Drosophila melanogaster: one gene and its partners. The protein of the gene in region 1 interacts with the protein of each later gene in a pairwise test. Each region holds a gene or a part of one and is shown in the gene's direction. Other genes may lie near its edges.

Region 1 (8,971 bases):
TTCCAAGCCTACGACTGGCTGCACCTACTGCGCCGCCACAACTGCTGCTTTCAAATGGGAGGCTCCGATCAGACGGGCAATTTAATGACTGGACACGAGCTTATTAGCCGCGTAGAGCGAAAGCGAGAGGTCTTCGGGCTCACCCTGCCATTGGTCACGACGGAAGAGGGCGATAAGTTCGGCAAGTCGGCAGGCAATGCAGTGTGGCTAGACGGTAACAAGACCTCGCCTTTCGCCCTCTACCAGTTTTTCCTGCGCATGCCAGACTCCGAGGTCGAAAAGCTCCTGAAGCTGTTCACCTTCATCCCGCTGCCCCAGGTGGAGCAGTTGATGCGGGAGCACACGAAGGAGCCCGAGAAGCGGAAGGCGCAGACTCTGCTGGCTGAGGACGTGACTCTGCTGGTTCATGGAGGTTGTACTCTATATCATTGTTCCTTTATATCAGTAGTATAGAAGTTTTCAATTCACAGAAAGTGGGCTGAAGCAGGCGGAACGTGTGACCAATGCCTTATACAAAGGCAACGTGGAGGGTTTAGCGGAACTCAACCTTTCCGAGATCCAGCAGACTTTTCAGGGTGCTACTATGGTGAACCTGTTGACCGAGCCAGGAATGTCCATCCTAGAGCTCGCCATGAAGGCGAAGTGCTTTCCCACGGAGAGTAAGTTATCTTTCTCTTTGGAAATATGGGGCATAATCGATTTGTGATCACTCTTTAGCGGATGCTGTACGCATTATAAACGCAGGCGGATTTTACGTTAACCAGAAGCGGGTGCAGAATATCGCCGAAGTGCTAACTACGGGCGTGCACATCCTGCGCAACGGAATTTCTCTGCTGCGCGTGGGCAAACGCAACTTCTATATTGTGCGCTGGCAATAGTTAACAGTAAACCTCTTATCCGGTAATGTTAACTTTTAATTGTTGTTAAATAATCATAGAATGGCTTACATTGTAAGAACTTATGCTATTTATGTGGGTCTGGGGGCGGGCTTTTTGCGCCACCGCTTTCGCGCCAGCATTTCCTTGGCCTTCTCCTTTTTCAGGTCCTTGTCGTAAAACTTGCCGCTCTTCGTGAAGGTCTTCTGCTCGTTGCGCATCTCGGCCAGCTTTCGGTTCTTCTGTTTGATGATGTTCTTCTTGTTGGCCGACTTCTTCTTGCCCGCCTCGGAGATCTGCACCTTGATGTTGCGTCCCTGCAGCTCTGTGTTGTGCAGCTGGAAGGCATTCTGGAAACTGCTTAGGTCGGCCATTTCCACAAAGGCGAAGCCCCCTCGTCGCTTCTTGGGAATGCGGATAGACTTGACCGTGCCTGCCGCAGAGAAGTGCAGCTCCAGGTCGTCCTTTGTGGTTTCGAAGTTCAGGTTCGTCACGTACAGGACGTGTCTGTTGGTTTTGGAGGCTCCTCGAAGCAGTGAACTCAGCTGGTCACTGGTTATCTGCCCATTTTCCGCAGATTCCTCTTCCTCGGCTCCGGAAGCAGCACTGCCCTCAGCGGCTGCCTCGTCGTCGGACTTGGCCTCATCCTCGCTCTTACTATCCTCCGGGTCACTGGGATTCCGTCCGTCCTCCTTGTCCACATACGTGCCCTCGAAGATCTCCCTTCGCTTCTGGTCATCGAAGTTTCCCAATAGATCCGCACTGTCGTCGTTGACTGTGCGTTGAACTCGCTTGGGATTGAAGAAAGCCTCCACCTCATAATCGCTGCCAGAATCACTGGCCATCGTGATATTTCTGGGGGAGATTGCAGTGCACACCGATACGCAGACACCACCACGTGGGATTCCCTCTGAATGGCAAATCTGTGCGGTCCCAGACATTTTCCAGCACTGGCTAATTGCGCGCCAAGAAATTCAAATCCCAGGCCATATTGCAATCGCAGCTTGTTAGAAACCGGTTGCAACTGCGGGAGCAAAATCAGACTGCTAATGGAGTTATGCGAAAATAATGCTAATCGGCGTTAGCATCGAAGGAACCGGTTAGCTCTTATCAGCTAAAAATTAATCGTGCGGTGCTGACAATTGATGAACGTGGTTGTTTTGGGAATCTTCCGCACAGATCTCCAAAGATAACCCCCCGAATATGATATGCCGAGTGGGGCGATAATTAATGCCTGCAGAATGACTGCATCTATGTCTTTTGTTTAATTAAGACAAACGACCGCTGGGAGCCAGTTATGAAGAAAATTTATGCAGTTGGTGATTCCGGCCGGTAAAATGTCAGTGGAGAGCTACATATAAAAGCGCAATTTTCGGCAACCAGCAGTCAAAATTTTATCGCTATCTATCAGCACACACATCCCCTTTCCAACCATGAAGTTTGTGGTAAGTGGCATCGAAATTAGATTTTGGGGACCTCTGAACAACGATTTGTCTTTTAGATCGTTCTTGCCTGCCTTTTGGCCGTGGTCTTCGCCAACGAGGAGGCTGATGTTGTAAAGAGCGACTCCGAGGTTAACTTGCTGGACTTTAACTACGCTTATGAGCTATCCAACCATATTCGCGCCGTGCAAACTGGAGCCTTGAAGGAGCACGACAACTGGGTGGTTTCCGGGGAGTACGAGTACGTGGCCCCCAACGGCAAGACCGTCAAAGTGGTCTACACCGCCGATGAAACCGGCTACCACCCAAAGGTCGTCGAGGCCTAATGAACAGGACCCACTCCCGAAGACCGAAATAAAAAATTAAATCCATTGCAGCAGCGAACATTTTGAATTTCCGTTCTTTTTCTTTTGTGTGAATAGACACTCTTCTTCTTTCTGCCACTAAAATCTAGGGCTGGCAAATTACGAGCGAAATTTTATACAATGTTATCGCTTGTCTCGCAAATTTGCATTAATGTGTAAAGTTAAGTAAACTCATTAAAACTATGTCTGGGCAGCCAACAGCCGTGGACTGCTTAGAGAGCAGTGGAAGCACAGTGGAGGATGTCCAAGAAACACCGGCGTCGAGGGAAAAAAGTTACGGGTTGCCGGTGCGCAAAGGAGAAAATAGCTTGGAGTCTCCTGCAGAACAAGCCGCAAAGGATGTGGAAATTGAGGAACTGACACACAGTGAAGCAATCGCCGCCACCGGTTCAACCAGGAAGCAGTGCCCATATGGAGGTAAGGCCCCTGATGAACCTGGAAAGTTGGCCGACGAATCGGAGGACCGCAAGGGAGAGAACACGAAAGCCATTGCAAGCAGCCCGGTTTTGGTAGCTGTGGATTCGGACAGCAGTGTTGAGCTAATAGAGAGTCCTGTCAAATTCTCCTCCGCCAACGAAAGTGAGAAAGATCCGCCAAAACCAGATGCTGTCAATGAAGCTGCGGCTAAAGAGGCCGAGGAAATGACTGATAGCAGCATCAGCAGTCCCACATCCGAAAGTTTTCCTGAAAAAGATGAAAAGACCAATAAGGAAAATGAGCAAGAACCTCCTGGCATGGAGGTAGATCAGGACGTCGAGGAGTCAATAAGTCGACCAGCAGAAGAATACAAAATTGAGAATACATTAAAAGGTCACAAGCGTATTAGCTTAACGGAAATCGAAGAACACAAAATTGTTGATAAAAAAGACGATGTCCTAGAGGTGGAGCTTGAAAAGGGCACTGCTCCGAAAGCTGCAGAAGACGAGAAGCTGAACGCTTTGTTATCAGATGGAGATGTCTTCTACGACAAGGAATGTGTCAACTGCAATTGCACAAAGCTTCATAAACAGTACGTGTTGGCTAACATGGCCACTTTAAACTTTTACCAGGTGCTCCGAAAGTCTTCCAAGCAGCAGTTCCTCTGCATGGGATGCCATGACACAGCAATGGACTTGTATGAGGTCAACTAGCATATTTATTAACTTAAGAGGGAAACTTAGAACGTATTTCTTTATTTAGGAGTATGCTGGACAACTAATGGCCAAGCAGCCGCTGCTGCTAAAGGATTTCCATCAGGATCACGCCGACTTTGTGGCTCTGGACAGCAGCGATGAGGAGGAAGAGGAGAAGCAGCCAGGTGAGACTGCTATCATGATAAATAAACAATAGCAAAAAAAAAAACGTACTAAATATATTTTATCCGCACAGAAAAATCGGACTTTTCGAAAAACAAGCTGCAGCTCATCGAAGATGAACTCGATGATGCCATCAAAAATGTACTTAACAAGGTGGATTTTACGGCTCAGCTGTCCTGGTCAAAAACTATTCTCCAGGCGAAAGCAGACCACTTGGAGCGACAATTCGCACTGGCAGATGTGGAACTCGAAAAAGTTCAGACCACCGCTGACAAAATGCACTGCGCTTTGTATAACTCGTGTCCGGTGGCACACAAACATCTGCCCACCCTGGACATTGAACCCAGTGACTATGTGGTAAGTAAGAAGTGATGCCGTTTGGATCTGATTTAATACAACCATTTACTCAGCATGAAGTTCCACCTCCTGGCGAAATCGTGCGTCCTCCAATACAGTTGGGAGAGACATACTACGCTGTTAAGAACAAGGCTATTGCCAGCTGGGTGTCCATAAAGGTAATCGAGTTTACAGAGAGCACCGCCATCAACGGAAACACGATGAAGAGCTACAAGATTAGGTACCTCAACACTCCGTACCAGATGATCAAGACAGTGACGGCCAAGCACATTGCCTACTTCGAACCACCGCCAGTGCGACTGACCATTGGTTAGTTCCCAATAGACCGGTTATTTATCAATCTATAAACTAACCCACTCATTGTGCACTAGGTACCCGCGTGATTGCGTACTTCGATGGCACCACTTTGTCGCGGGGCAAGGATAAGGGCGTGGTGCAGAGCGCCTTTTATCCAGGCATCATCGCTGAGCCGTTGAAGCAGGCCAATCGCTACCGCTACCTAATATTCTACGACGATGGGTACACTCAGTACGTTCCGCACCGCGATGTCCGTCTAGTTTGCCAGGCTTCCGAGAAAGTGTGGGAGGACGTACACGCCGCATCGCGCGATTTCATACAGAAGTACGTGGAGAAGTACTCCGTGGATCGTCCAATGGTGCAATGCACCCGGGGACAAAGTATGACCACTGAATCGAACGGGACCTGGCTGTACGCGCGCGTCATTGACATCGACTGCAGCTTGGTGTTGATGCAGTTTGAGGGCGACAAAAACCATACGGAGTGGATATACAGGGGTTCATTGCGCTTGGGTCCTGTCTTCAGGGAAACCCAGAACAATATGAACAGTTCAAGCGCACAGCAGCTGCGTGTCCCAAGAGTAAGCATCGTGTCGATTCATCCTGCGGTCCTAACTACAAAATGTCTTTCTTTTTCAGCGCACGGAGCCCTTTATTCGGTACACCAAGGAGATGGAGTCCAGCAGCAAGGTGAACCAGCAGATGCGTGCCTTTGCCCGCAAGAGCAGCGCCTCCGCCCAAAATAACGCATTAGCGGCTGCATCTTCGGCAGCAACCCCAGCCGGAGGACGCACCAATGCAGGAGGTGTCAGCACCAGTAATAGCGCAAGTGCTGTGCGACACCTAAACAACTCGACAATCTACGTGGACGACGAGAACAGGCCCAAGGGCCATGTAGTCTACTTTACAGCCAAGCGGAATCTGCCTCCCAAAATGTACAAGTGCCACGAGTGCAGCCCGAACTGCCTCTTTAAGATCGTTCACCGTCTGGACAGCTACAGTCCGTTAGCGAAGCCTCTGCTTTCTGGCTGGGAACGTCTTGTCATGCGGCAGAAGACCAAGAAGTCTGTGGTATACAAGGGACCTTGTGGCAAAAGCTTGCGCAGCCTGGCCGAAGTTCACAGGTACCTTCGAGCTACTGAAAATGTGTTGAACGTAGACAATTTTGACTTTACGCCCGACCTCAAGTGTCTGGCCGAGTACTCCATTGATCCCTCGATCGTGAAGGACACGGACATTTCAAAGGGGCAGGAGAAGATGGCGATTCCGCTGGTAAACTACTACGACAACACCCTGCCGCCCCCATGCACCTACGCGAAGCAGCGCATCCCTACCGAGGGTGTTCATCTGAATCTGGACGAGGAGTTCCTCTTGTGCTGCGACTGCGAGGACGACTGCTCGGTAAGACGTCTTACAGATCTGATTACCTCAAATTATACCCAGCCGCCCACTATTTTGTGTATCCCTATCAGGACAAGTCAAAGTGCGCCTGTTGGCAGCTAACGGTGGCGGGCGTGCGGTACTGTAACCCGAAGAAACCCATCGAGGAGATAGGCTACCAGTACAAGCGGCTCCACGAGCACGTGCCCACCGGCATCTACGAGTGCAACTCGCGCTGCAAGTGCAAGAAGAATTGCCTGAACCGGGTGGTGCAGTTCTCCCTAGAGATGAAACTGCAGGTGTTCAAGACCTCAAATCGTGGATGGGGCTTGCGCTGCGTTAACGACATCCCCAAGGGTGCTTTCATCTGTATTTACGCCGGCCATCTGCTCACGGAGACGATGGCCAACGAAGGCGGACAGGACGCCGGCGACGAGTATTTCGCGGACTTAGATTACATAGAGGTCGCTGAACAGTTAAAAGAGGGATACGAGTCGGAGGTGGACCACTCGGACCCGGACGCCGAGGAGGACAACGGGGGACCCGATGCCGAGGACGATGACGACTTCCGGCCAAACTATCACTACCAGCGCAAAATCAAGCGCTCTTCCAGAAGCGGCTCCACGCAGAACAGCTCCACTCAGAGCAGCGAGTTGGACTCGCAGGAGCGTGCGGTGATCAACTTTAACCCAAATGCTGATCTGGACGAGACGGTGCGGGAGAACTCGGTGCGGAGGCTTTTCGGCAAGGACGAGGCGCCCTACATCATGGACGCCAAGACAACGGGCAACCTTGGACGCTATTTCAACGTGAGTTGGAAGTTTTTTGTTATTTTGCCGTGTGGCTGATTCTCTTCTTCTCCCGCAGCACTCGTGCAGCCCCAATCTCTTCGTGCAGAACGTGTTCGTGGATACTCACGACCTGCGTTTCCCCTGGGTTGCCTTCTTCTCGGCCGCGCACATCCGCTCCGGCACCGAGCTGACTTGGAACTACAATTACGAGGTGGGCGTGGTGCCCGGCAAGGTGTTGTACTGCCAGTGCGGGGCCCCCAATTGCCGCCTTCGTCTGCTCTAAGTTCTAGCTTAAGTTAGAGATCCATACAGGAAATATACTCATTAAAGAAGAATTAGAATTAAAAATTTAAACTTTAAACATTATCTGTTCCGTTAGGGTAACGGAAACATTGCATTTTTATAAGCTACTGCTGTTCTGCACCGTCCGTTTCAAAGTACACAATTTTCTTCACGTTTAGTGTTAAAGGAATAAATATAGACAAATGAATTTTAAAAAATTATACTTTAAAAAAATAATAATGTTCGTTAATTTAACGGTATTAATTTATGTGGTATTTTAACGCATTTTACCTAGTGGTATACTTAATCATCAGCCGTACGGTATTTTTAATCGTTATCCGAACGGTCACACTATCCACCGAGCAAAAAAGCAAATTTAGGCTTTTTAAAATTCGAGAGTAGCTAAATTAGGGGCCGCAATGCGCCAAGCTCACCTGTAAGTGGCTCCAGCAAGTGTCTCGTCGCAGGTGCACAGGTGCTAGGCAGCAGGACTCCGCCGACGGCTGACTAAGAGCAGCTTATCCGCCCCTTGGGAAGAAAAAATCGATTTTGTGATAACGGGCTTACGCTTACGCGTTTTTGCACTGCTAGTCGGAACCAATTGCCAGTAGACTCCACACCATGAATGTGGACTTTGCGAGGGTGTGCGGGAAGCACATAGGCGTCTACGAGGCCTACTACAAACTGGTAAGCGCACCACGCCTCCAAGCCGCACTGTTACCAGGATGGCGGCCAATGTTGAGCATCCGTATCCACACCCACCCTCTATCGATTTTTGCAGATTGACCCCAAAGGCACAGGGGCAATCGAGGCCATGACTGCGGCCAAGTTTCTCAAGAAGTCGGGCCTTAGCGACGTTGTGCTAAGCAGGATCTGGGACCTGTCTGATCCGAGCGGCAAGGGCTTTCTGGACAAGCCGGGCTTTTTTGTAGCCCTTAAGCTGGTGTCCCTGTCGCAGGCGGGACAGGTGGCCAGCATGGCCAACATCTACCTGGACATTGCCAACCCGCCCAAGTTGGTGAGTAATCGCAACTTCGCCCGAAATGGGCAAGACGAGATATATTACATTAATGTCGCCCCAATCGCCAGGGTGAACTACCAAAAACGATGCCGTCGCGTATTCAGACTGTTCCCGTTGCTAGCGGCGGAGTGGCAAACGGAGACTGGTCCATCGGGGTGATCGATCGGCTCAAGTACGAGCAGCTCTTCGAGTCCCTGCATCCCAGTAATGGAATGCTGCCGGGCAACAAGGTTAAAGGCGTGCTCATGGACTCCAAGCTGCCCATGAGCATACTGGGAACTATATGGGACCTGGCCGACCAGGACAAGGACGGCAACCTGGATATGCACGAATTCGTGGTTGCCATGCACCTGGTCTACCAGACGCTGCAGAAGCGCACCATTCCTAGCGTTCTGCCGCCCGAGCTGCGAAAGCCCGGAGGAGCAGGTCCGCCACCGAAGCCAGCCATGCCACCACCGCCAGCGGGTGCTGCTATGCCACGTGCTCCCAGTGGGGAAGGATTTGGGGACGGCGGATTTGTAGCAAATTTTCCCAAGGATATAGCCCCGCCGGCGGCTATTCCGCCGCTCCCGGTGGCTGTGCCCCCCATGACGCGCATTCCCCCGGTGGGAGCAGTCAGCTCTCAGCCGCTGATTCAGACGGATCCATTGATACCGATTGGGGCTCCGGTGATGGCGAATGCCGACTGGGTTGTCACCCCAGCGGACCTAAAGCGGTTCGAGGAGATCTTCCGGCAATCGGATCTGGATAAGGACGGCCTGGTCTCCGGCCTTGAGGTGAAGGATATTTTCATCAAGTCGGGTATTCCGCAGCGAAGCCTAGCAGACATCTGGTAGTTATTTCGTATATAGATATTGCCAAAATATC
Region 2 (10,202 bases), 850 kb from region 1:
GCCGAGGATATTCGCTATGTATACTGCCTGCACGCCCTGAACCACATGCTGAAAGTCAGATCACTGATATTGCGCAACAACGAAAAGGTTTCGGCTTTGGCCAAGTCACAAAAAATGTCGCCCAACGAAATCTCTATACCAGAGAGCTTCAGGGACCAAGGGCTTAAGCGGATGAAGGTCGTTTTTGTAGTGCCCTTCAGGGAATCGGCTCTAAGGATTGTAAATATACTCGGAGATCTACTCTTTGGCAGTCAAGATGGTAAGTCACCCGTTGATAGCAAAGAACCTGTATTACCATTAAATGTCCTTCACAGATCAGGCCAGGAAAACCTCGATCGCGAACTATGAACGCTTCCTGGGAGATTACTCCGGGAATACGATTTACTTCCCCAAAACCAACCCAAAGCCAATGGATTATGAGCAAACATTCAGTGGCAACACGGATGACAACTTCAAACTAGGTATTCGTTTTACAAAGAAAACCATGTCCCTATTCTCCGATATGAACGCATCGGACATGTTGATCGCGTCTCCCTTGGGACTGAGAATGCTGGTTACGGACAAGGAGAGCGATTTTGACTTTTTGAACTCCATTGAACTGCTGATAATCGACCAAGCCGAATTGTTCCTGGCGCAGAACTGGGAGAACCTGCTGCACTCCCTGGACCACCTGCACCTGCAGCCGCAGAAGCTGCCCGATACGAATTGCCAGAGGGTACGAACGTGGTGCCTGAGTGGAGCGTCAAGTTTCTACCGCCAAACCCTGTTCTTCTCGTCCCACGAGCTGCCCGAGTTCCGGGCAGTGTTCAACAGCAAGTGCAACAACTACCAGGGAAAGGTGCGAGACTCGAACCTCGTCGAGCACGGAGACATCCGGAACGTTCTGACTCCAATACATCAGGTTTTCCGCCTAATCAATTGCTCCAGTGTGGAGACGACCTTCGACGATCGGTTCCAGTACTTCGTCAAGAATATTATGCCCCAATTCAGTAAGCCCGGTTTCTCGCACTGTATGCTATACGTGCCCAGCTACTTTGACTACGTACGGATACGCAACCATTTCAAGACCGAAATGGTCAGTTTTGTGCAGATAAATGAGTACACCAAGAAAGAAAAGATTTCCCGGGCGAGAGATATATTCTTCCACAGCGGGGCATCTGTTCTGTTGTACTCGGAAAGAGCGCACTTCTTCCGGCGCACGCGGATTAAGGGCATCCGGAACTTGATCATGTACCAGCCGCCCAACTTTCCGCACTTCTATTCCGAGATCATCAATCTGATGCTGAAGACAAATCAAAATCCGCGCGATGGATTTGGGGACGAAATGTCCGTCAGTATCCTGTACACAAAGTACGATCTGCTAAGCTTGAGTAACATTGTGGGCAGTGAGAATGCTGCGAAATTGACTTCTGGTCAAAAGGATTCCTACCTTTTCTCCACCAAAACGTAAATGCTTACACGAGAGCTGACTTTGAAATATGTACATATTTAGTTGTCAATTAGAATATACTAAATGTTAACGCAAGTAAATAGTAATGTATGTGATAACTTTCAGTTGTGGCTCTATTTTTGGACCTAAATACTTTCGTGACGTAGAGATTTTAGGAGGAACTGGCTAGGTGATTGATCTGATGTTAAGGGTGGCGATGTCTTCTCTTTGTTATTACGCAATTTGAAATTATGAAAAAATGAATAATTGGCAAATGGTTGTGTAATAAGAGGCAGCATAAGTAGTGTTTTGCCGATTGATGAAATGATTCAAAATGCATTTGAATTCAATATATTTTGCCTGTTTTTACTTTAATATCCCTTTTTTATAAAGGAAGATTGGCCAGAGCATTATGCAATAAAAGTTATCATTTATAAGGCAATTAAGTGTTAAAAAACATTATTTTGCAGTTTGTATTTGTTTTTAAATGATCACTTCGCTTGATTGCTTGAGATTGCTGGAATCTGGAACCATTACCATATACCGAGTTCCTAAATAGACAATATCCAGCGGTTGACAACCGCATCAAACCCAGATTTGCCAGTCCCAAAATAAATCAAAATTCCTGGCTGCATTGTCATTTATCAACATTTTTAAATATACACATAGGTAGCTTATAAAAGTTCTGGCCTAGACATATAGAGGTAAAATAGTAGCCAAATGCATATTTATGGGGGTCTCTGTGAAAAGTCGTAATAGCTGCTGCACAAGGCGGATGGCTGATGGCGGATATCATACGGCAGAAACGTGTGCGGAGAGCGCTCTTGCCAATATCTGAGAGTCCGAGTCCGTAGGGGCATTACAAGCCTATAAATAAAAATAGTCGACGGCTGCCAGTCTCTGCTGAAATTGGGGAAAAAGGCAGAAAAGCCAAACGAAGAACTAGGGGTTCGCAGGCCGACTGGTGGATGCTCTTTCAGCTGTTAATGGATCGAGATCAACTAGATTGAGGAAATGAGTATTTGGGCTGGGATTTGGGATCTGTTGTATTTGCCAAGGACAAGTAAAATATTCAAAGGGCAGCAGCTATGGATAACTATGATGGATTCTAGCTCGGCGAAAGTGGAATGCGTCAGTGCCAGTGCCATCATTCCCAACCATCCCCCCACCAAAGGACCCAAGTCTTGACCCACTTGAAGTGGCTGACACCGAAGGTAGAAACACCTTTGAGTGACAAACCCTTCCACACAACCCAGCATAATTTCCCCAGATTGGTTTAAAAATACCACTTTCTAAATATTAGACAAACACACGTGCATTTCTCGGAATACGTCTGCACTCACACTCCCAGGCACATCCACATCCACAACCACATCCACGTCCACAAGTGATCTCGCATCGCCACATTGCCATTGCTCTAGACTTTCGTGGCCGTGCGCTCCCGCGGATCCGAGATCGGGCGGCCATATGTACGTATGTATGTATGTGGATGGGGAGCTCGTGTGCCCGTGGTATTGTGGTATTCCCACCTATACCTAGCCACATATACGAATCTCTGGGGGACCACGGTGAATCTGCCTCGTCGAGGTACGAACGAGCTGCACGAGCAGATCTGAACCGCCACCATTCGAATTCGGATCGCATTGGATTGGATTGGATAGGTGGTAAGTGCTCAAAAGTTTGTGCGTGCTAAAAGTATTTTCCCGGGCCAAAATAGAGAGTGTATGTAGTTTTGGGAATTTTGCCAAAATATATGAATTTTGTAATTCAAATAGACACTCTCATCGCGCAGCGTTCTCCTTGCGTTCAGTTGCCGTTGATCGTTATAATAGCGCGATCTTTGTGTCTTGGTCTTCCGACTGAAATAAATTATTATATAATAACGGAATTTTTGCTAGGAATAATAATTGTAAGTTTTGTTGATTTTCTGCAACAACTGCAAAGCGAATACGCCAGTGAATTACTCCAAACTGCCAAAACCATTGGGTAAAGCAAATAAACCCCCCTAAAAACTATCGAAAATTCGTCCGCGCGCTTTCAAAAGAAAAGAAAACCTGGAAACCAAAAGTTATTGAAATGCCTACATATCTACATACGAACATGCTTCTTACACTCGAAAACCGTGCTTCAAACTCAAAGTGTTTGCCCCCAGTTTACTTTGCCACCCTGGAGCTCGTCCAGAGCTCGTAGTTCGATCTATCTACATACATGAAATATCCGTAAGGGCGACGATTCGGCGGTGACCTCGACCTCCGGATGGTATCGAAAATTTGAATGTCACCAATACGAGAGCACTCCACGAATAGATTCGATCCGACACAGATGTAAAGTTTTCCAAGTGCCCGAGATCTATGTATCTGTGATTGAAAATCTGGTTATGCAACCACAACCGCAACCGTGGCGAATATATTCGTACCCAAATTCGAAAGATCCATGTCTTGTACTGTACCTGTAGCCCTTGTAACAAGCATAGAACACACGATCTCTTGAACTCCTTAACTACCCGCATTCATAGCTTAATGGTGGTTACATCGGTTAGTGAATTTGACTGCCTTTCAGTTGCAAAAGATCCCTGAAACCAACAGACAGTTTTACAGAAACGTGTAGCTCTATAAGTACATTCAGCCCAGGATCATGGCCCAATCATTTGTACTTATTTTTGAACCCACCCACCCACTATTATACAACCCATCGGTGGACTTGTCAATCAGAAATTCGGATTCGGGGACGTGGGAAGCAGCATATCGCACAAGTGTCGACATCCATTAGCATGGAGATATCTCTGCTCGCAATATCATAAGCCGTTAAATCGTACATATAACCGCGCAGAATAGGAATCTTTCTCCCTACGATCGTCTCTCTGTATATGTACTCAAACTTATTTATGTGGTCCTAGTACATATCTTTATATCTACGAGTGTTCAGAATTGAGCTGTATTTTTCGGGTGCTAGGACTCTATTTTTAGCCCATCTCGGACAGAGGCGATTTTTTGCTCCATAATGCACACACACATGTGTATTTTAGGGGTATATATAGGCTATATGCATGAAGATGTTTTCGAAACACACGTCTCTGTGCTCAAAATATAAGTAGTATTCGAGCGCATTGATTGACAGTTTTTTGAAAACTAACGCCTTTTGTGGGCGGGCAACTGGTGGAAACCTCGTTATCAGAAGTTACGTATGTAATTCTGTGACGTAGCCAGCGTAATATTCAAGTATTATGCGAGTTGGCTGCCGTTCAAAATTCCCCGTATGGCCTGATTCTAGTGTCTGGTCGCGAAAAAGATTAAAATTAAAATTTAAAAATGTCGCTGCTGGCGAATACCTGGCACCCAGATCTATTTATTGCGGGCTCTTGATCTCGATCTCATTAATTTGAGCACAAAATGCGCGAAAAGAATAGTGTTGCTTGTTGTGTGGCCAAAATAGTGCGGATGTCTCTGTCGCTTGCCAAGTGAAAATATGACAATGTATAAATAAGTTTAAGCATTCGTGATAAGGATTTCAGTTCGATTTACACCACAGAAGGGAGTAAAAACATTTGGTTTTCGATCGCAATAACAACTTGATTTATAAGGTTAGAGGTATTTTCCAATAAAGAAACTTTCCAGCACAGCTGAATTCCTTCGAAACTTTGATTAGTTTTAAATTCCTATATCACCTCAGCTATCGGTATTACTGAACACGGAAACTCAACAGTTAGCCATCGCAGTTGAGATTCTCAGTTATCGATAACGCCGGCTATCGCAGTTTAGTAGCACAAATTGAACGCGTCAGTAGAAGCTGAGCTAAAAGGTGGGATAATTATCTAATAATTGCCAGGACTGAGAATTCTTAAAAGTTGGAGAAAGAGGCAGCTCTGCACAAATAACGTAACTCGGACGATATACGTTTTCAGTCAGCCCTGTCTTGTGCGAATAATGTCGTGTCATAGTGAGGCAGAACGGCGATAGGCAGTAAATCGCGGCTTGGTACTTAGTGCAATAGTTATCAGCACACATATTCAGAAAAAAGCGCCATGGGTTATATTATATAGAGAGTCAGTGGAAAAAAGTACTTAACACACGCAGTGCGTCGTTTAGCGAGGTTAACGTAGGAGCAGAGCACCCGTATTACGGACCAGATCCCCCAATCCCCCGCAGAAACTGAGAATAGAAAAACGAAAACTGCGTCTGTTGTGCGAAGTGACACGTGTGTGAATCTCATAAGCGGAGCGATTTGGCCAGGGTAACAGCCCATCATAGTAATGCAATATTCCAGCATATTCTCCGACCCGATCCGCACAATCCGATCCTAAGTTGGCGCGATAACTGCGCGACTTTAGTGGCCAGTCCGGGCCCGATCAGAAGTGCCTGAAATCGGGGAATTAGCATGTAGCACCTGTGTATGTGCGTATGTTGGAAAGTACCCGTGAGCCGAGTGCCGTGCACATGCACATGTACGACCACTTATTCAGAACCTAATGAGGTAGTTTTAACTGCAAACGTACATGCCAGTACAGATGTATGTGCATACATACGTGCATACACACTTGCTATTCCAGTCAGTCGTTGAATAGAGCCCAGAAAACGGCAAAATAGCTAAATAGCCCTGCCAGAGAATTAAAATGAGCCCCTTGCCTTGTGTCTACTTTCAAATCCCCACCTGAATCGCCCCGGAATCTGGACACAGGCCACTGAACGAAGAGGATAACGAATCAAGATGGAAGACGGTCACTCGAAAACCGTCGAACAGTCCCTCAACTTCTTCGGAACGGACCCCGAGCGCGGCTTAACCCTCGACCAGATCAAGGCTAACCAGAAGAAATACGGACCCAATGGTGAGAGTCGCGCGTAATTCCCCTCCACATTCCGAGACCGAATCGACTGACGTGTTTGTTTTCTTATCGTTACAGAGTTGCCGACTGAGGAAGGTGCGAACACAACCCGAGCAGATCCCCTGCCCCCCACCCCCACTTCACTGTATGCATACATTATAATAACGATTGTATTCCACAGGAAAGAGCATCTGGCAGCTGGTCTTGGAGCAGTTCGACGATCTGCTGGTGAAGATTCTGCTGTTGGCAGCCATCATCTCATTTGTAAGTGCAGCAGCACAAAGAAACCCACCCTCAAAAACTTAGTTACGACCACACTCTTCCCCTCTGCAATCCCCAGGTTCTCGCCCTGTTTGAGGAACACGAGGAAACGTTCACTGCATTTGTAGAGCCCCTAGTTATTTTACTTATCCTGATAGCCAACGCCGTGGTGGGAGTATGGCAGGAGCGTAACGCCGAGTCGGCCATTGAGGCCCTCAAGGAGTACGAGCCTGAGATGGGCAAGGTGGTGCGCCAGGACAAGTCCGGCATCCAGAAGGTGCGCGCGAAAGAGATCGTGCCCGGTGACCTGGTTGAGGTGTCTGTCGGTGACAAGATCCCTGCCGATATCCGTATCACCCACATCTACTCGACCACCCTTAGGATCGATCAGTCCATCCTCACCGGTGAGTCGGTCTCCGTCATCAAGCACACCGATGCCATCCCCGATCCCCGCGCCGTCAACCAGGACAAGAAGAACATCCTGTTCTCCGGCACCAACGTCGCAGCCGGCAAGGCCCGTGGCGTCGTCATCGGCACTGGCCTGAGCACCGCCATCGGCAAGATCCGTACTGAGATGTCCGAGACCGAGGAGATCAAGACCCCCCTGCAGCAGAAACTGGACGAGTTCGGTGAGCAGCTGTCCAAGGTCATTTCCGTCATTTGCGTTGCCGTGTGGGCCATCAACATCGGCCACTTCAACGACCCCGCTCACGGAGGCTCCTGGATCAAGGGTGCCATCTACTACTTCAAGATCGCCGTCGCTCTGGCTGTGGCTGCCATCCCCGAGGGTCTGCCCGCCGTCATCACCACCTGTCTGGCTCTGGGCACCCGCCGCATGGCCAAGAAGAATGCCATCGTCCGCTCCCTGCCCTCCGTGGAGACCCTGGGCTGCACATCTGTCATCTGCTCTGATAAGACCGGCACACTCACCACCAACCAAATGTCCGTTTCCCGCATGTTCATCTTCGACAAGGTTGAAGGCAACGACAGCAGCTTCCTCGAATTCGAGATGACCGGCTCCACCTACGAGCCCATCGGCGAGGTCTTCCTCAACGGTCAGCGCATCAAGGCTGCTGACTACGATACCCTGCAGGAACTGTCCACCATCTGCATCATGTGCAACGACTCCGCCATTGATTACAATGAGTTCAAGCAGGCCTTCGAGAAGGTCGGCGAAGCCACTGAGACCGCCCTGATTGTGCTGGCTGAGAAACTGAACAGCTTCAGCGTGAACAAGTCTGGCCTGGACCGCCGCTCGGCTGCCATCGCCTGCCGCGGTGAGATCGAAACCAAGTGGAAGAAGGAATTCACCCTGGAGTTCTCTCGCGATCGTAAATCCATGTCCTCGTACTGCACCCCCCTGAAGGCTTCCCGCCTGGGCACTGGCCCCAAGTTGTTCGTGAAGGGCGCCCCCGAGGGTGTTCTAGAGCGTTGCACACACGCCCGCGTTGGCACCACCAAGGTTCCTCTGACCTCGGCCCTGAAGGCCAAGATCCTCGCCCTGACCGGCCAGTACGGTACTGGACGCGACACCCTTCGCTGCCTGGCTCTGGCCGTTGCCGATAGCCCCATGAAGCCCGACGAGATGGATCTGGGCGACTCCACCAAGTTCTACCAGTATGAGGTTAACCTGACCTTCGTCGGTGTTGTGGGCATGTTGGATCCCCCCCGTAAGGAAGTTTTCGATTCCATTGTCCGCTGCCGTGCCGCCGGTATTCGTGTTATTGTGATCACCGGCGACAACAAGGCCACTGCCGAGGCTATCTGCCGCAGAATCGGTGTATTCGCCGAGGATGAGGACACCACTGGCAAGTCCTACTCGGGTCGTGAATTCGACGACCTTTCCCCCACCGAACAAAAGGCTGCCGTCGCCCGCTCCCGCCTCTTCTCCCGCGTGGAGCCCCAGCACAAGTCCAAGATTGTTGAGTTCCTGCAGAGCATGAACGAAATCTCCGCTATGACTGGTGATGGTGTGAACGACGCCCCCGCCCTGAAGAAGGCTGAGATCGGTATTGCCATGGGCTCTGGTACCGCCGTCGCCAAGTCTGCCGCCGAAATGGTGCTGGCTGACGACAACTTCTCCTCCATCGTGTCTGCCGTTGAAGAAGGTCGCGCTATCTACAACAACATGAAACAGTTCATCCGCTACCTCATCTCTTCGAACATTGGTGAGGTCGTCTCCATCTTCCTTACTGCTGCCCTTGGCCTGCCCGAGGCTCTGATTCCCGTCCAGCTGCTCTGGGTTAACTTGGTACGTCTTGATGGGGTATTTACTACTTAAAATGGTTAGTAATAGGTACTTGGTCACAGGTTACTGATGGTCTCCCAGCCACCGCTCTGGGCTTCAACCCCCCTGATCTGGATATCATGGAGAAGCCCCCCAGGAAGGCCGATGAGGGTCTCATTTCCGGATGGTTGTTCTTCCGGTGGGTTACTCAAAAAGCACACATCCTTTAATCGGTATTAACTTGGCCTCAATCGAACTTTTAGTTACATGGCTATTGGATTCTATGTCGGCGCTGCCACCGTCGGTGCCGCCGCCTGGTGGTTCGTGTTCTCTGATGAGGGACCCAAACTGTCCTACTGGCAGCTGACCCACCATCTGTCCTGCTTGGGCGGTGGCGACGAGTTCAAGGGCGTTGACTGCAAGATCTTCAGCGACCCCCATGCGATGACCATGGCTCTGTCCGTGCTGGTGACAATCGAAATGTTGAACGCAATGAACAGGTGAGTGAGATAACGAATGATGGACGGCACGATAGATACGAACCGATCGCCTTTGTTTAAACAGCTTGTCCGAGAACCAGTCGCTGATTACCATGCCCCCATGGTGCAACCTGTGGCTGATTGGATCAATGGCACTCTCCTTCACTCTTCACTTTGTTATTCTTTACGTCGATGTCCTCTCCGTAAGTATTTGGCAATGATAAGCCCTTCTGCGCCGCGGAAACTAATGCCAGTATCGTTTTACCCACAGACCGTCTTCCAAGTGACACCGTTGTCTGCAGAAGAATGGATAACTGTGATGAAATTCTCAATTCCTGTAGTTTTATTAGATGAGACATTGAAGTTTGTTGCTAGAAAAATCGCAGATGGTGAGAGTCCTATATATAAGATGCATGGGATTGTGTTAATGTGGGCTGTCTTCTTTGGCCTGCTGTACGCTATGATGCTTTAAGAATATAATTATAATCCATAAGCCCAACTTCATTATTCTAATTTCTAGTATAAAATGTTACTAAATATAAACAGAAACAAGAACCCACAATTATATACATCTAACGTAACGACTTTAACCCCATGAAGTTTGTTCCCAACTGCAACTACTGATTTCCACCCGGTGTCACAGAATTGACTGGTGGCACCAAAAGATGGGCCGACTGACTCGCTCCTGGCTTTTGGCTTTGAACAAACAGCGTTAAATGATCAATATTTTCTATGAGCTAACGATTTATCTAACACGCGTATACCCTACCCTATAGATATCTGTGTTTGTATATTACTATATTAAATTTAGCAGGATTGCTTTTTGTACATACAATGCTCTATATACATAAGAAAGTTCCACACCGGCACATTCGAATGCATTAGTTAGTTTTCGTCATTTAATTTCACCGGGTTGCCAAAAGAACCGTGTAGGGAAATCCAAGTCTCTGGAAATGAGATGTCTGTTTGTATTGAACCAAACTTTTG
Region 3 (6,990 bases), on another chromosome or scaffold:
TGTACATATGTATGTACATAAGAACGTGCGCGTTCATAATTCGTGGGAATCGGTACCGGGTTTATTATCTACTATCTGCCCATCTAGTGCTCATATCCCATTCTAATACTTATATCATCATCCACTCAATTAGGGCAGTCATTGTGTGTACTGTGTTATGTTCAATCAACGCGGAAAACTAAGGAACCGAATGGCAAAAGTCTCGATCCATTCACATAATTACAACTTAAGCTACAATGTACCTTAGTGGGGCTCTAAAATGTGATTTTAACAACAAGAAAGCACATTCAATAAACATATTATTAATAATTTAACTTATCCTTTGTTTCAAATCAAGATCACCTGGTTGTATATTGTTAGCCAGCACTGTGCCCACGGCAGCTGGCTTCTGTCCATCGTAGGCCAGGGTCAGGGTTTTCCAATTAGAAACAAATAATAATAATAACAAAAAAGGCGAGCGGCAAATAGAAAACAATACTGCATTTCCCACCCCTTTGGATACAATCATATATATGTATATGTACATATGTACCTGTATCGTTCTAAGCCCCTAAATGATTTATTTGTGACAAAACAAATGCCGACTCTCTTGGCTTTTCTTACGCTCAGCCTTCTCTTTTCCGACTGGCTTTTCTCTTACTTTTCCGACGGCGGAAATCAAGACTAAATGCAGATAGTCATGCCAAATAAAACTGTTTATTATAACATATACGTGTGGCAGATTTTCCAATCAAACCGACCAAAACTGAGTGGAAAATCAGAATCAGTTGTCGGCGCGAAGTCGAATCGAACGGAAAGTCGAAAGTAAAGCCGCGGCTAAAGTCGTTCTTTTGCCGACTTTTCCTGGCTGCCATTACGCAAGTCACGGCCATATTTTCATGTGAAAATCAATAGTGGCCATCTCAGCGGGCACTTTGCCCAAGAAAAATTTAAAAAAAAACACGAAAATCCCGAACGCAGCAATTAATAAGTTCGCAATTCGGTCAATAAACACAAAACAAAGAGCGTTGCCAAAAATATAACGAGATAAAATGAAATGAGCTTAAGCACAATCGAATAATAAATTGAAACGTACAACAGATAAACAAACGCATATATGCACGTCTATAAGAATGCCCATCTTTCAATATATACATATGAATATATATATCTATATATACATAAACATATATATTTGCATAGTATATGTATGAATGTTTGCATATCGCACACTCGGCAAATAAGGCAAATGAACTGACAATGACTTGCAGACATGGCGAAAAGCGCACAATACCACCAGGTTGAACAAACCAATTGGCCTATGAAGCTATCAAAGAAAAAAGAAAAAAAGCTGAAAAAACTTCACATGGGTTATTAACAACCCACCGCTAACCACCGATACCGATACTCCATTGCCAATTCCAATTCCAATTCCAATTTTGGCTCCCATCTGGGGGCTATTGATAAGCCACTTCTGACAGGGCGTTAAACAAATCGAGCCGAGCCCTCCTAATAGAGGAAAGTTACCAGACTAGAATACGGAATAGCAAACTACGAATTTGAAGTGGTGTGTCAAGGAGGCAGCCTTATCGTACTTATCACTTGTCGATCGATTCGATCGAAACATCGCCAAAATGGATCATTAATTTGGTGGTCTACAAGTATTATGCAGAAATTATGTATTTGACAATGATAAATGAGCATATAGGTGGTTTCAAGTTGAGAAATAACCAATTCCATAATCAATTTAAAGAGTGGCACAGTATAATGCATTTTTGACCAATAAGGTCCGCCTTTTGGCCAAATTATTTATACAAATTTACCTAAAATGATGTATCGTACCTCGCTGAGTTTGAAAAGTAGTTTTTCATTTAGTATTTCAATATAAAAATTCTAAATTGTTGCCATTTTCGCAAATTTTGGGTTACAAAAATGGTAAAATTTTGAATTTGGGTATAAAAATAATCCATTTTTTGACCAAAACTTGAAAATTAGTGCTCCAAATATGGAATGTCATATATCGTTGAGTTCGTAATTAAATTTCCAATCAAACTGTATTTAAAAGTTAGAATTCCATTTTTTTGCAATTTTTTGCAAATTTTGATGATGGTACCCCTTACAAAAAATGCAAAAATTTACGAAAAAATTTTTTTTCCAAAATTCGTCAAAAAGTGATAGAATTAGTTAGCATTGGTAATTAGCTGCTCAAAACAGGTATTCTTTTATCTATATGACCATTTTTACCAAAGTTATGACGAAAATTCGGTTTGTAAATATCAAATTTTTGGTAAAAGTCGTTTTTCCGAATTTCAATAAATGGAAAAACTGTTAGTCCTTTAAATCACATGCCCATTCTTAGCTAATCAGAAGAGGTTAAAGTTAGAGACGATGCCATATTGTTAATCGTCTAATTTGTACATATGTATATATCTATTTTTTTTACTGGGTTCGAAGAGCTTTGATCTTGAAAACCCCCTTTGGCGTTCCACCCATTCGGCGTGGCTATATGCAGTTTGTTTATCCAAAATATTGTTTATAATTAGCAAACATTGTGGGCTTTCCGAGCTTTGTGCCGCAGCCGTGTTTGCTAGTGACTAGAAAGCTCCCTACCAACTTTACCCGATATATAAACTTTGGATCCGCTGGGATCGGGAGAGGTGTGAAACTATATAAAGAGTGAGAGAGGAGAGAAAGCAGAGGAAAATACTGAGGCGTAGACAAAGAAAAAAGCGAAAGACAGACGCGTAGGAGATGCGCGAATTGCGTCGAACGGAATTCAAACTAAATTAAGTGCAGTCGATCGCGGGCGGTATATATATTCCACCGATCCGAACCGACAGTTGCCCAAAGACATTGCCCCAGAGCAGAATATCGAGCAGAGCGGCGACACCTGTCACCGGGGGAATTACATAAAAAACAAAACAAAAATAAAAAAAACACAAACACTCAAGATTTTCACAACACACAAATCAGTAAACATCGGAGAAAAATCGAAACAAATCAACACGAAACACTCATTTGGATTAGCCGTTAGCCAATATAGACCGTTCAGGATCCCAGGATCCAGGATCTCAATTGCCGAGATGTCGTACCGCGGAATGCTGAGCACCTCGGACGGTTCGCCCGTCGAGCTGCGCGTCCAGGATGTGGACTCCTTTGACGGATCGATGATGTCCCATGCGGCCACCAATGCGGCCGGTCCGCTGGGCAGCAAGGCCAGCGGCAAGTCCCTCAACGCCTGCACCTCCATGTCCATGCCCCAAAAGCCGAGTTCCCTAAGGGCGACATGTAAGTCGCCAGTTCCCCAGCCGCTGCCCATGTAAGTGAATGCATCGCGACGACACAAGCCACACGAGCCACACGAACCACCCAACCGCCACCCACTGACCTCGTGCACTGCGCGAAAACACAGCAGTCCAGTTGGTAGCAAAACGTATGGCCTTAAATCAATGAAGATGGGCTAACTTATTTCTTGCAAATCATCGCTTACCTATTACAATATTATACCAAGTTGAATGTTTCTTTGTACATCTCTTTCTTTCGATGTCTTTGTCTTTGTCTTTCTCTCTCTCTCTATTTTCTCTGCTGCAAAAAGAAAGCAAATGACATTCACTCTCCCACGCACACAGCAAAGCACTCTCACTCAAAACAAAAAAAAAACCTGTAGCAATAACTCACACGGTTCGCTACACTCGAAGAAATGCCTTGTGTGGATGCAGATATGATCTTTGGTTACAAGCTGTATTTAAGAACTTCTTAACTTGTTAACAATGCTTGTTTTATTAAGCAAATATTGCCCACAAGCCGCATCAGTTGCCTGAAAATTGTTTAATTCATTTATTATTGTATGTACCACTGCATTGTTTCAGTGTAGCGCTAATCCTCTGTCGCTGCGCTGCCAATCAGTCGCAACATCTCTTGAGTCGCACTAACCCATATAGAAATATAGGAAAGTTATAATACCCTGTAAAGTGGTATAGCACTTGGGTTTCTTAAGATACATACTTCAAAATATACAAAAATAAAATGATAATAAATCAGTTTAGATTGCGTCAATCAAGTTTCTGCGAATATATCCCGGTGCCTTGTGGAATAATAAGCTTTTTAGTTAAGATAATTAGCCCACTTAAATATGATTCTTTGCGGCGGGTTTATTCCTTTGATGATAGGAGATTATTGTTGTTTTTGTGACCTTGAAGTGTATTCCAACTTCGGATCGTTTTAATCAGTCTCCTCATCTAGTTTGTTGTGTTTTGAGTGCGTGTTTTGATTTTGCCAGTATTTTTGCTATCTCCGCTAATCCCTCTCTCCTCCATTTCCGTCTCTTTCGTGCTGTTTTACACTGCAAAAAAAATATAAAAGAACAATTAAAATAAATAATATTAGCTATTATAATCTATATTTGAATTATTACCAAACATCCAAGTGATCTATTCAAATGATCTTGAATATCAGTTAGTTCGGATTAATAATTTCACAGTGAATCTAAGCTTATATGTAAATATTTTTCAGTGCCCTTCTTTTTTGTAAAACTTTGTTGTTCGCCCAATTTGTAGTCGCCAATCAATTCCGTGTGGTTGTTTTCTTGGAAGTCAATGTTTTAGTTCGTTTAATTTTATTTTTTTTATTATTTATTTGTGCCTCCAAAGATGATGCGCCTCTGCTGCAGTCGCAGTCGCAGTCTCAGTCGCTGTCGCTGTCGACGTCGGTAGATCTCGGCCTGGAATTCTCCGATCTTCGACGTTTTCCAATTTCATTCAGGCGACAACTCTCGAACAAGTTACTTCACAACACAACCTTGTCTACGATCCTCCGATTTCCCGGGTTTTCTCTGCATTTTCTGTACACTTTTTCATTTTTTTTTTTGCCATGAACTTCAATCGCATGGATACCGCCCATCGGTTGCGCGTCGATGTTCGACTTTATGGGGGATCGATGGGAAATCAGCTAAATGACAAAGGCACCGCCTCCTCCACGCCCACCATTTCATCGGACGATCTCAGTAGGTGTTTTGCACCACAATGGGATCTATAACTTAATAACTTTACCTGTTTAATTTGAATCCCTATAAATATGATTGTTTTCTAATTTCTTAGGTGATCTCGCCGATTCACCGGTGGATGAGAAGGCCGAAGCTGATGTGGAGGTGACCAACGAGATCTCGGCGCCCTATGAAGTGCCCCAATTTCCCATTGAACAGATCGAGAAGAAGCTGCAAATCCAGCGCCATCTCAATGAAAAGTGAGTGTTAGAAACCAATATACATATATCATAAAGATGCTCCCATAATGATTAAAATTAAATGGTAATTTAGCTTTGAGAGATTATACTTTTAAATTGTTGGATTTTGAGAAAGACCTGATTATTTTTCACTTATCAGCAAAACTTTAGTGATTTGCTATTGGAAACTGTAACATATTACAGTTTAATCAGTTATTAATAGGACTTACAACCTGTCTTACGTGCTACATTTAATAAAATATAATACGTTTTAGAGAAGCTCTACACTTTCAAAATGTAAGTTTCACACAATATATAGAAAAGCAAACTTTCATTTTTAAAATAACAAACGACAGTTGAAGTTTACTATGTACTTTTTGTTTGTAAATATATCTTCATAATTTACATAGATATATATATAGATTAAATTATATGTCTTCAAATCCCCATTATTCGGTTATAGTAATCAGATCCAAACCTAAATCGGTTCTGCTTCGCTTTAGATTTGTTTACTTTACATGCAAAGCAGACAAAAAACACGGCGAGTTCACAGATCTCGTGATTGAGTCCTTATCAGCTTTTCTATATTAAGGTTAGATTTTTTTCAAGGCTAAAATCTCTATTAAACAAACAAAGAAATTTTAAAGAGGACAAAAATAAAAACAAATCTTATCTGGGAAACATATGAAAATATGTTTTTACATCTCAAAATAAATGATAATATTTTCTTTGAATATTTTGTAATTCGAACATATCTTAGGATCTTACATCTCATAATAGATGGAAATATATTTTTTTTATATTTGAACATATTCTTAGGATTTGCACGCATTTCAGTCTGCTTGGCTCTCAATCATGAGCAGTTTCTATAGCCCCGTAATGAGGCAGCCACAAAATGTGTAGGCGTTGCAATTATCAGTCTGCCAGGTGGGCGGTGAATGTATGTATGTAGATTCCCGGGCGTAATCCAAAGTGGGTTTATGTCTGCCGCCAGAGTCCGGATCTCGGTTGCTGTTTGGATTTTCATTTTTGGCCGGGGAAAGTGTGGACCGATGCAGAACACGTTTTGATTTTGAATGGAAGTGCATTAGACAGACAGCCATGACGGAGGTGATGGACTTTCGCCCAAGCCGCCTAAAATCGAGCCGGTAGTGGTGGTTATGGTGGTGGTGCTAGGGCTTATGGCGTAATGAACCACCACCACCACCATCAGCACCGCCGCCAGGAGAACCACTGCAAGCGACGGTTGAGTTCTGGCGCGGATGCCGTCACTTTCAGTACGCTCCGATCCAATAAACGGGCAGCTCAACGTCGCGAAACGCGGCCCAAAGTTACCCACCTGGCACTACACTGTACTACACTACCTGTGCGACCTCCGCTGACATTGAGCCCGCCTAATAGGCAAAACCAGCCATCGAACTGCCATCTAGCCCATCTATAGCCACCCACTGTCCCACTAAAATTCACCAACCATTGTTGTTCGTGTCGCACGCCAGGCGTCGCTCAAAAAAAAAATAATAAAATAAAAAAAAAAGTGGCAAAGAAGCCAAGAAGCGGCGTTGGCAAAAACTTTCCAACTCGCACGGACACTTCAAGTTTTTTTTTTTTTTTTTTGGCATAAACTTAGAATTCCGACAGGTTTCGCACGCCAGTTAACAAAAGCAAAAGGGGAAATCCCCAAGTGACGGGTTTTTATATACATATATATACAAATGTTGCAGAAGACTTGACAATTTTGGAGTGGCATTATCTGCCAATCTAGTGATATTGCAACTAAGTCTTAGTTTTAAG

The links.
Region 2: the proteins of egg (region 1) and SERCA interact in a two-hybrid assay, tested with the Drosophila melanogaster proteins (one study listed by BioGRID).
Region 3: the proteins of egg (region 1) and AMPdeam interact in a two-hybrid assay, tested with the Drosophila melanogaster proteins (one study listed by BioGRID).

Annotation. Positions count from the first base shown.
Region 1 is NT_033778.4:24,773,707-24,782,677, reverse strand, and holds egg (eggless), read left to right. Parts: upstream 1-2,776; 5' UTR 2,777-2,864; coding exon 2,865-3,803; intron 3,804-3,861; coding exon 3,862-3,979; intron 3,980-4,050; coding exon 4,051-4,334; intron 4,335-4,387; coding exon 4,388-4,643; intron 4,644-4,705; coding exon 4,706-5,211; intron 5,212-5,269; coding exon 5,270-6,031; intron 6,032-6,102; coding exon 6,103-6,819; intron 6,820-6,877; coding exon 6,878-7,084; 3' UTR 7,085-7,144; downstream 7,145-8,971. Other genes in the region: TyrRS-m (Tyrosyl-tRNA synthetase, mitochondrial), read left to right, coding at 1-412, 471-659, 718-878; CG3594 (uncharacterized protein), read right to left, coding at 968-1,720; Lcp9 (larval cuticle protein 9), read left to right, coding at 2,309-2,320, 2,377-2,643; Eps-15 (epidermal growth factor receptor pathway substrate clone 15), read left to right, coding at 7,705-7,770, 7,865-8,101, 8,173-8,936. UniProt on the Drosophila melanogaster protein: Histone methyltransferase that specifically trimethylates 'Lys-10' of histone H3 (H3K9me3) in ovary. H3K9me3 represents a specific tag for epigenetic transcriptional repression by recruiting Su(var)205/HP1 to methylated histones.
Region 2 is NT_033778.4:23,928,716-23,938,917, reverse strand, and holds SERCA (Sarco/endoplasmic reticulum Ca(2+)-ATPase), read left to right. Parts: upstream 1-3,033; 5' UTR 3,034-3,093; intron 3,094-3,237; exon of another isoform or gene 3,238-3,338; intron 3,339-4,833; exon of another isoform or gene 4,834-5,009; intron 5,010-5,177; exon of another isoform or gene 5,178-5,227; intron 5,228-5,473; exon of another isoform or gene 5,474-6,103; 5' UTR 6,104-6,133; coding exon 6,134-6,251; intron 6,252-6,326; coding exon 6,327-6,344; intron 6,345-6,429; coding exon 6,430-6,512; intron 6,513-6,588; coding exon 6,589-8,760; intron 8,761-8,819; coding exon 8,820-8,935; intron 8,936-8,999; coding exon 9,000-9,236; intron 9,237-9,300; coding exon 9,301-9,418; intron 9,419-9,486; coding exon 9,487-9,687; 3' UTR 9,688-9,803; downstream 9,804-10,202. Other genes in the region: CG3735 (uncharacterized protein), read left to right, coding at 1-259, 315-1,450. UniProt on the Drosophila melanogaster protein: This magnesium-dependent enzyme catalyzes the hydrolysis of ATP coupled with the transport of calcium.
Region 3 is NC_004354.4:13,835,843-13,842,832, reverse strand, and holds the start of AMPdeam (AMP deaminase), read left to right. Parts: upstream 1-2,821; 5' UTR 2,822-3,062; coding exon 3,063-3,267; exon of another isoform or gene 3,268-3,271; intron 3,272-4,734; exon of another isoform or gene 4,735-4,848; coding exon of another isoform or gene 4,849-4,981; intron 4,982-5,075; coding exon 5,076-5,220; intron 5,221-6,467; exon of another isoform or gene 6,468-6,990.